Linked DNA regions of Macaca fascicularis. The protein of the gene in region 1 purifies or fractionates together with the protein of each later gene. This does not show direct contact. Links are inferred from orthologs where the notes say so. Each region holds a gene or a part of one and is shown in the gene's direction. Other genes may lie near its edges.

Region 1 (3,745 bases):
ATTTGCACTCTAGAGAGAACACCGTGGTAACTGTGAGGATCTGGTTGGCAGAAGGGAGACTACAGCGTAATCACAACGGAGACGGAGACAAAAGTAGACACCTCAGAAATAAACACAGATTGGATGTAGGGCGTGAGGAAAGGAGCCTGGGGTATTCCCAGTGGGAATTGAGTACTTCTATGAATGGAGAATATAGCAGGAGCAGGGTCAGTATTTGACACGTGGGATTTGAAGTGTCTGCGCTATACACAGGTGAAAGTGTTCATTAGCTGAAAATACCAAGGGACTTCCAGATGATCTGGTCTGGTGATACATATTGAGGGGTCCTCAGCAGTTATAGGCGAGTGTAGAAAAGGTTACTGAGTGGGCAAAGAATAAACGGAAGAGGGCCGGGCGCGGTGGCTCACACCTCTAATCCCAGCACTTTGGGAGGCCGAGGCGGGTGGACTACCTGAGGTCAGGAGTTCAAGACCAGCCTGACCAACATGGTGAAACCCCGTCTCTACTAAAAATATTAAAAAAGTAGCTGGGCGTGGTGACGGGCGCCTGTAATCCCAGCTACTTGGGAAGCTGAGGCAGGAGAGTCGCTTGAACCCGGGAGGCAGAGGTTGCAGTGAACCGAGATCACGCCACTGCACTCCAGCCTGAGCGACAGAGCAAGACTCCGTCTCAAATAAATAAATAAATAAATAAGAAAAAGAAAAAAGAAAAAACAGAAGAGGGCTGCGCTCATAATACCGTTGAATACCAATATCTGAAGGGCAAGCCACAAGGTGCAGGGGGCAGAGGCATCCCTGGTAAGGGAAAAGAGTTCTTTAGAAAAGAACTTGCAAAGAACAATGTCAAGGGATCTAAAGGTAGGGAGTTTGGACAGAGTTCCGCTTTAGCATCTGCATCTCAAATACCTGGGTAATCTGGTGACTGCTGCCGAATCTAAGATTACTGAGGCCAGGTTGCCAAACTGCGGAGAGTGGGGTTGGAGGGCTTTTATGGCAGTTTGGAGCCTGCTTGTGTCCGACAAGATACCCTGGGCCACCTTCTCCGAGTATTGGTGCAGAGGTTAGCTGGGCCGGCAAGAGAAGGGAGATGACCCACTACTTTGATTTCAGGCAGCAGACACCCGCAGTTTTTCGATTAGAGTTGCGGATAGGGCGGTGGCCCTGGGGGCGGGGCTATGAACCTGGGCGGGCATTCCCGGCAGGGCAAGCTCAGCGTGAGCCCGATTGGAGGATGGGCTCTACCTTCTTCCTTCCGCCTACGGAGACGGTAGCGGGATGCAGAGCGGGGCCGGGCTGAGGGGGCGGAGTTGGGGGCGGGGTATGGTGACGCTAGCCCCGCCTCTTTCCGGCCGCTCTGGGCGGTGCGGCAGGGCGGTGTCGCTCGGGCGGTCCCGCTGGGCCTGGGCCTGCGGGGTGGGGTTGACGGCATGGGCGGGGCCTCGGGGACCCGGGCAAGCCCGCGCACTTGGCAGGAGCTGCAGCTGCCGCTGTCCGCGCCTCCAAGGTTTCACGGCTTCTTCAGCGGAGACCCGGGCTCGGCCGCCATGTCCGCCGCAGACGAGGTTGACGGGCTAGGCGTGGCCCGGCCGCACTATGGCTGTGAGTGCGGGGCTCTGCGGCGCGGGGCTTCGGGGCCGAGCTAACTGCAGACGAGGCGCGATTTCCTTGGGGGCTCGGCCGGGCGGGTGGGGCAGGGCGGCTGCCGGCAGCTCGGACCCGGAAGAGCCGCCCGGGTGGGTCGGCGGGCGGGGAGGCCCCTGGTGCTCGCCCCCTCGGGGTCCGAGGCGGCGGAGAGGACCTCCGAGGCCTCCCGCCCTAGCTGGGGCCGCGGTAGGGGGGAGCCCCACCCAGCCCCTCCCGTCGCCCAAGCTCGACCGAGATTGGGGAAGACGGCCTAGGGTGAGGTGGCAGGAGGACCGCGCAGGGCGTGGCCCGGGGACTGGGGTCTGGGTACGCGGGCTCTGCCCGTTTCGTGGAAAGGCGCTGCCCTAGTATTGCCTGCGGGGTAGACCAGGGTCCAGACCTGTCCGGCCCCAGGCTAGGTAAGAGGTGCCGTCCTGGGCAAGTCACTTCAGTTTTCTCGGGCTTAGTTCCCTCCTCAAGATTTCAAAAGTAAAATAGTAAAAAAAAAAAAAAAAAAAAAAAAAGAAACAAAATCCTAAGACTTCCTCATTTTCTGTTGTCGGCCCTGGACGTCATTGAACTGCAGGCAGGATTGGCTAAAGGAGGACCCTTTGAGATTATGAGGTTTTCGATTTTATTTTATATTCTGGGAATAATGTTCTTTTTTAAAGGATCAACATTTCACGCATCAACAGTTATTTGTGAGGTATTGTGCCACATTTATGAAATTAAAGAGTAAGATCAGGCCCTGCCTCCAAAGAACGTTTTAATCAGAGTGCCGGACAGGTGTGCATGCTAATAATTATAAGGTGCAATAACGATGAAAGATGCTGAACTTACTAGCCATACAGAGTAATGTAGGTAAGGAGAAGGGGCTTGGGGAAGACAGTATGAGCACGGAAGGTGACTTTTTTTTTTTTTTTTTTTGAGACAGAGTCTCTGTCGCCCAGCCTGGAGTGCAGTGGTGCAGTTTCAGCTCACTGCAAACTCCACCTCCCAGGTGCAAGCGATTCTCCTGCCTCAGTCTCCTGAGTAGCTAGGACTACAGGCGTCGGCCACCACACTGGCTAATTTTTGTATTTTTAGTAGAGACAGGGTTTCACCGTGTTGGGCAGACTGGTCTCAAACTCCTGATCTCAAATGATCTCCCCGCCTCGGCCTCCCAAAGTGTGAGCCACTGCACCTGGCCTGAAGGTGACATTTGAACAGAACCTTGAAGAATGCTGTGTAGAAAGTTTGACAGGTGGCCAGGCATAGTGGCTCCTGCGTGTAATCCCAGCACTTTGGTAGTCCGAGGTGAGAGGATCGTTTGAGGCCTGGAGTTTGAGACCAGCCTGGGCAGCATAGTGAGACTCCATCTCTAAAAAAAAAAAAAAAAAAAAAAAAATTAGCCAGGTGTGGTATCCCACGCCTGTGGTCCCAGCTGCTTGGGGCTGAGGTAGGAGGATCATTTGAGCCCAGAAAGTTGAGGCTGCAATAAGCCATGAATGTGCCACTGTACTCCAGCCTGAGTGACAGAACAAGACCCTGTCTCAAAAGAAAAACAGTTTGATAGGGCATGTGGAACAAGAGACAGGATTTGAGGGAAGGACATGAACAAAGGTACTGAAGAGTAGAGGGACACTGTGTTGGGAACTGAGTGGTGTGGACTGCACAGTGATGGGAGGAAAGACAGAGGAGAGTTTCCAAAAATAGTTGGGACCAGACTGGGAAAGGCCTTGAATGCCTTCCCAAGGAGTTAGGAATTTATTCCATACCTGGTGCCCATGAAGGAAGCAGATTGCTTCAAGGTTAAGCTCAGGCTTTGGAGACAGACTCTCCGGGTTTGGATTCAGGCCCTGCCACTTATTTGCCATGGGCCTGGGCTCACCCAGCCTCAATTTCTTCATCTGTAAAATAGGACTGATAATCACAGGATTGTTGTGGGGTTTCAATGAGAGAATGCGTGTAAAATGTTTAGTACAGTTGCTGTCACTTATTTCTCAATAACTGCTGGCTTTAGTCATTAATAAAAGAGGGAAACAACATTATCAGATCTGTATTTAGAAGGAGTTCTGGCAGATAGGGACAGATTTCGGCCAAAATCTCAAGACAGTATTTTTCAAGATTACACTAAAACTTAG
Region 2 (3,745 bases), on another chromosome or scaffold:
ACCAGATCTATGGTGGCCTCCAGAAATGGTTGCTAACTTACTATCATCGTTATTTCTGTCGTACAATTCATTTCTACCTTTCCAATAAACTTTCCCGAACCAGTGAACCTTACTTACTGCCCATAAAGTTCACCTGTGCCTCACCACCCTGCCCTCGCCCGAGTTTTCTGCTCTGACCGAATCCTCACACGCCAGTGCAGCCCCAGCCTCCAACACCAGGTGCACCGCCAGTGTATTTACTGATCCAGTGAATGAAGGTGGGCCCGGCCGGGCTGGTTCCCATCCTCTGATCAACGCCTAGGGGAACCAGTAAACTCCAATGCTGACCATAAGTGTCTCAGAAAGTAGGTCTGGAAAGCCCAGCCCTCCGCTCAGGAACCTATGAAGACCGGGGAGGATAGCGCATATGCGGCCGCAGGATGGAAACCTCGATCAGAAGGCTGGGGCAGGTGACTGGGCTTAATTGCAAATTTTAACATTTACTTCAGCAACCAGTTCATTAAAAACAAACTACTCTGAGGCCTCTTTTTTTCCTACCAAACCCAAGAGGAAGCGAAAAAGAGCGCAGCCGCTCTCCCTGGGGCCGTAAGTGCTTCCAGCTATCTGACCTCCACGCTGCCTGCTGCAGCCTCAACCTTTCCCCTGGTTCGGAGTTCTTTCAGCAGTAGGTCCAGGAAAACACCTGCCCCGCTCCCCACCGCCCCCCCGCCCCCACCGCCTCCCGAGACTAGGAGCCCGCCAGGGCTAAGTAGGAGGGATACCCTAGGGACCCTGCAGGGTTTTAGGGTTGGGGTGGATTGGAAATTGTTCATTGCCTTTCAGTTCCGGGACATGGAAGGACACTGAGTCACCAAACGCCGCCATGGGCCGGAAGCCACCGCCCTAGCCTCAGCTGCAATCTAGAGCGCGGCGTATCCCGTGAGCCCACTGGGGACTACGACTCCCGGCATGCTCCGCGGCCGTCGGAATTAACCCTTCAGGGCTGGGGGGCCGCGCTGTGCACCGCCCCCTCGCCAGCCACAGACGCGGACCCCGCAGGGTGAGTTTTGGGGGGCTGAGGAGGGCCGCTTTCTTTAAGGTTTAGTGGGGTGTGTGAGAGTGTGTGTGTGTGTGTGTGTGTGTGTGTCTGTGTGTGATGTATTTTGTAAAAATGGGACAGTTTGCAGTAATGAGATTCAGACACTGTTTTGCGAATGGGAGACCCAGCATCAACCCCGGGGCCTAAGTGGAGTCACTGCTATCTTCCTCAGAATGCTACCTAAATCCTTTCCTAATTTCCCCCAGAACAAAAGTAGGCCGCAACCCCTCCCCACTCCCAAACACCCCCCAACTTGGACTCTCTCCCAGTGCCCCCGGCAAGGTTTGTGACCTGGCCCCTGAGTCGGGATTTTTATTATACCCCTGGTAGTGGGATGAATACTCATGGAGGCCATAGGAGTGCCCACATCCTCTTGGATTAGGGAATTTAAGCCTTCTCCCAGAGCCCGCCCTTCTCGGGTGCCACCACAGGGTCCCCACAGGTTCAGCAAGCGCCCTACCTTTTGTTTGTGTTGAATGACAGTGGTCTTGTGGAGAAGGTTCCTTCCATGGAAGAATGGGTAGCAGATGTTAAACCTGATCTTTGCCCCCACTCCTTCCCCTAAAACAACACTGCGCACTAGGAGACAATGAGGGATGTCACACTCCTGTTTCTATGACTATTCTTCCTTTATACTGTGAATAGTTTCAATTCTTGGCTGGGTGCGGGCTCAGGAACTACAAGTATTAGGGATTATTAGACTGTAGGGTTAACTACCCCTGCTCTTTACAAAGCCATGGTCAGAAAGGAGTGGAGGGGCTGGGCAGATGGGCTGCTTGTTTTTGTCATTGCTCCCAGACCACACTTTAACTTGTTCCAGTTCACACAAGCCTCCCTGACTGCTACCCCTCACCCCACCCTTCGAGAAGACTAAAGCTGCTGGATCACCTGCTTTGCCTCACCACCCCCATCTCAGTGCAAGCATCCTATCCTCACCCTGGAGGTTAACTACCTCTCATTCTGGGCAGTCCCTGGCTTCCTCCCCTACCCTCAAAGGAAACATTGTTCTTTTCTGGACAGCCTTTGGGGATGAGGGGACAGAGGGAAGAAGACCTTGGGGCAGGAGTCCTGAACCATAGGAGGCCAAGGGAGTGAGGGCAGACGGTTATATCTCTCCTCTACCTCATCCTCGCCACAGCCAACTGGCTCCCTGCCCCTGCCCCCGCCCCTTGACATCCCAGACTCCCTGGCTATTTAAACAGAGATGGGTGCCCCCATCCGCACACTGTCCTTTGGCCACCGGACATCATGCCTCCCAAGAAGGATGTTCCCGTGAAGAAACCAGCAGGGCCCTCCATCTCCAAACCTGCTGCTAAGCCAGCAGCAGCAGCAGGGGCTCCTCCAGCCAAGAGCAAAGCTGAGCCAGCTGTCCCCCAGGCCCCTCAGAAAACCCAGGAGCCTCCAATCGATCTCTCCAAAGTGGTGGTGAGTCTCTGGAAAGTGAAGATAATTGGAGGGGGTGGTTTGAGGGTGAGATACAGCCTAGGGGATTAGGGGGTATCTAGAAGGTAGGGAATCAATGAACCCTGGAATGAGATTGGGGCTTTCCCTTAGTCCCCCATTTGCAAGCATCCAGGCTTATGACTCTGCTGTTGTCTTTGCTGTTCTCTCCCTCTAACCTATAACCATGTGTGTACAGCACATGCACACTCACTTACCCCCTGCTGGAGGCAGGGACTCTTAGATGGGGAACATCTGGGTTCTGAGGACAGTTTCAAGGTGAAGGGAAAAGAGCTGTTGCCTGCCCCTGGCTGGTGATTCAACTCAAAAGGCCTGCAGCTCTGAACTCCAGGAAGGGAGGCTGAAGAGGACAGACTTGTTAGACAATCACAGCTGGGGGCCAGGGGTAAATTTAGCCTTTGTTCAGCCCCCAGTTATGTGAGGGATGCAGGGCTCAGGGCAATGGAGGGAGGGAAACAGGTGGCATGGGATTAACCCTGTTCCCAGGAAACCCTCCCCACTGTAATTCCTCTTCTTGGGATTCTCCCAAGGCCCAGAGCTGGGAATGGGACTGAGGTGGCTGGGCTTCCAGCCTGGTCCCTTTGGGCCCCTCCTCAGAAGTGGCTGCCAGTTGGTTGGGAAGAGTGCTGGAGAGGGACTGAATAAACTGTCATCTCTCCCCACCTGCTTTTTTCTTCCACAGATCGAGTTTAACAAGGACCAGCTGGAGGGTGAGGAGAAGCTGGTCTAAGCCCACTGTCCAGTCCCCAATCCCCTGGTCAGATTCTCTTTCTATTCCCCTAACCCCAGTCCCGACCTTGAAACCTCCCATACTAGTCCTCTTTTCCTCCCTTGTTCTGTTCACATAGTTTCTGAAATTCCCTTCTGTCTGGGGGTGATGGGAACCCCTAGTCAGTGTCTACACTGACCCTTCCTTATACCTTAGAGTTCAAGGAGGCCTTCGAGCTGTTTGACCGAGTGGGGGATGGCAAGATCCTGTACAGCCAGTGTGGGGACGTGATGAGGGCCCTGGGCCAGAACCCCACCAACGCCGAGGTGCTCAAGGTCCTGGGGAACCCCAAGAGTGATGGTGAGGGGACCCTTGGAACAATTCGGGTTTTTAGTTTTCAGAAGTTGAATGTTGGTAACAAAGAATGAGGTGGATCTCAGGACTTCAAAAACTGTCAAACACAGAAGCAGGAAAATATCCTAAATGCTGAACAGGAT

The links. The genes of interacting proteins can lie anywhere in the genome.
Region 2: the proteins of IQGAP1 (region 1) and MYL6B purify together in Homo sapiens (affinity purification with mass spectrometry; 3 studies listed by BioGRID and IntAct, with this or other methods). This does not show direct contact. The link is inferred for Macaca fascicularis from reciprocal best matches to the Homo sapiens genes IQGAP1 and MYL6B.

What each region holds. Positions count from the first base shown.
Region 1 is NC_088381.1:74,924,452-74,928,196, forward strand, and holds the start of IQGAP1 (ras GTPase-activating-like protein IQGAP1), read left to right. Parts: upstream 1-1,442; 5' UTR 1,443-1,543; coding exon 1,544-1,598; intron 1,599-3,745. UniProt on the Homo sapiens protein: Plays a crucial role in regulating the dynamics and assembly of the actin cytoskeleton.
Region 2 is NC_088385.1:62,940,067-62,943,811, forward strand, and holds the start of MYL6B (myosin light chain 6B), read left to right. Parts: upstream 1-978; 5' UTR 979-1,039; intron 1,040-2,259; exon of another isoform or gene 2,260-2,280; 5' UTR 2,281-2,326; coding exon 2,327-2,503; intron 2,504-3,221; coding exon 3,222-3,249; intron 3,250-3,464; coding exon 3,465-3,608; intron 3,609-3,745. UniProt on the Homo sapiens protein: Regulatory light chain of myosin. Does not bind calcium.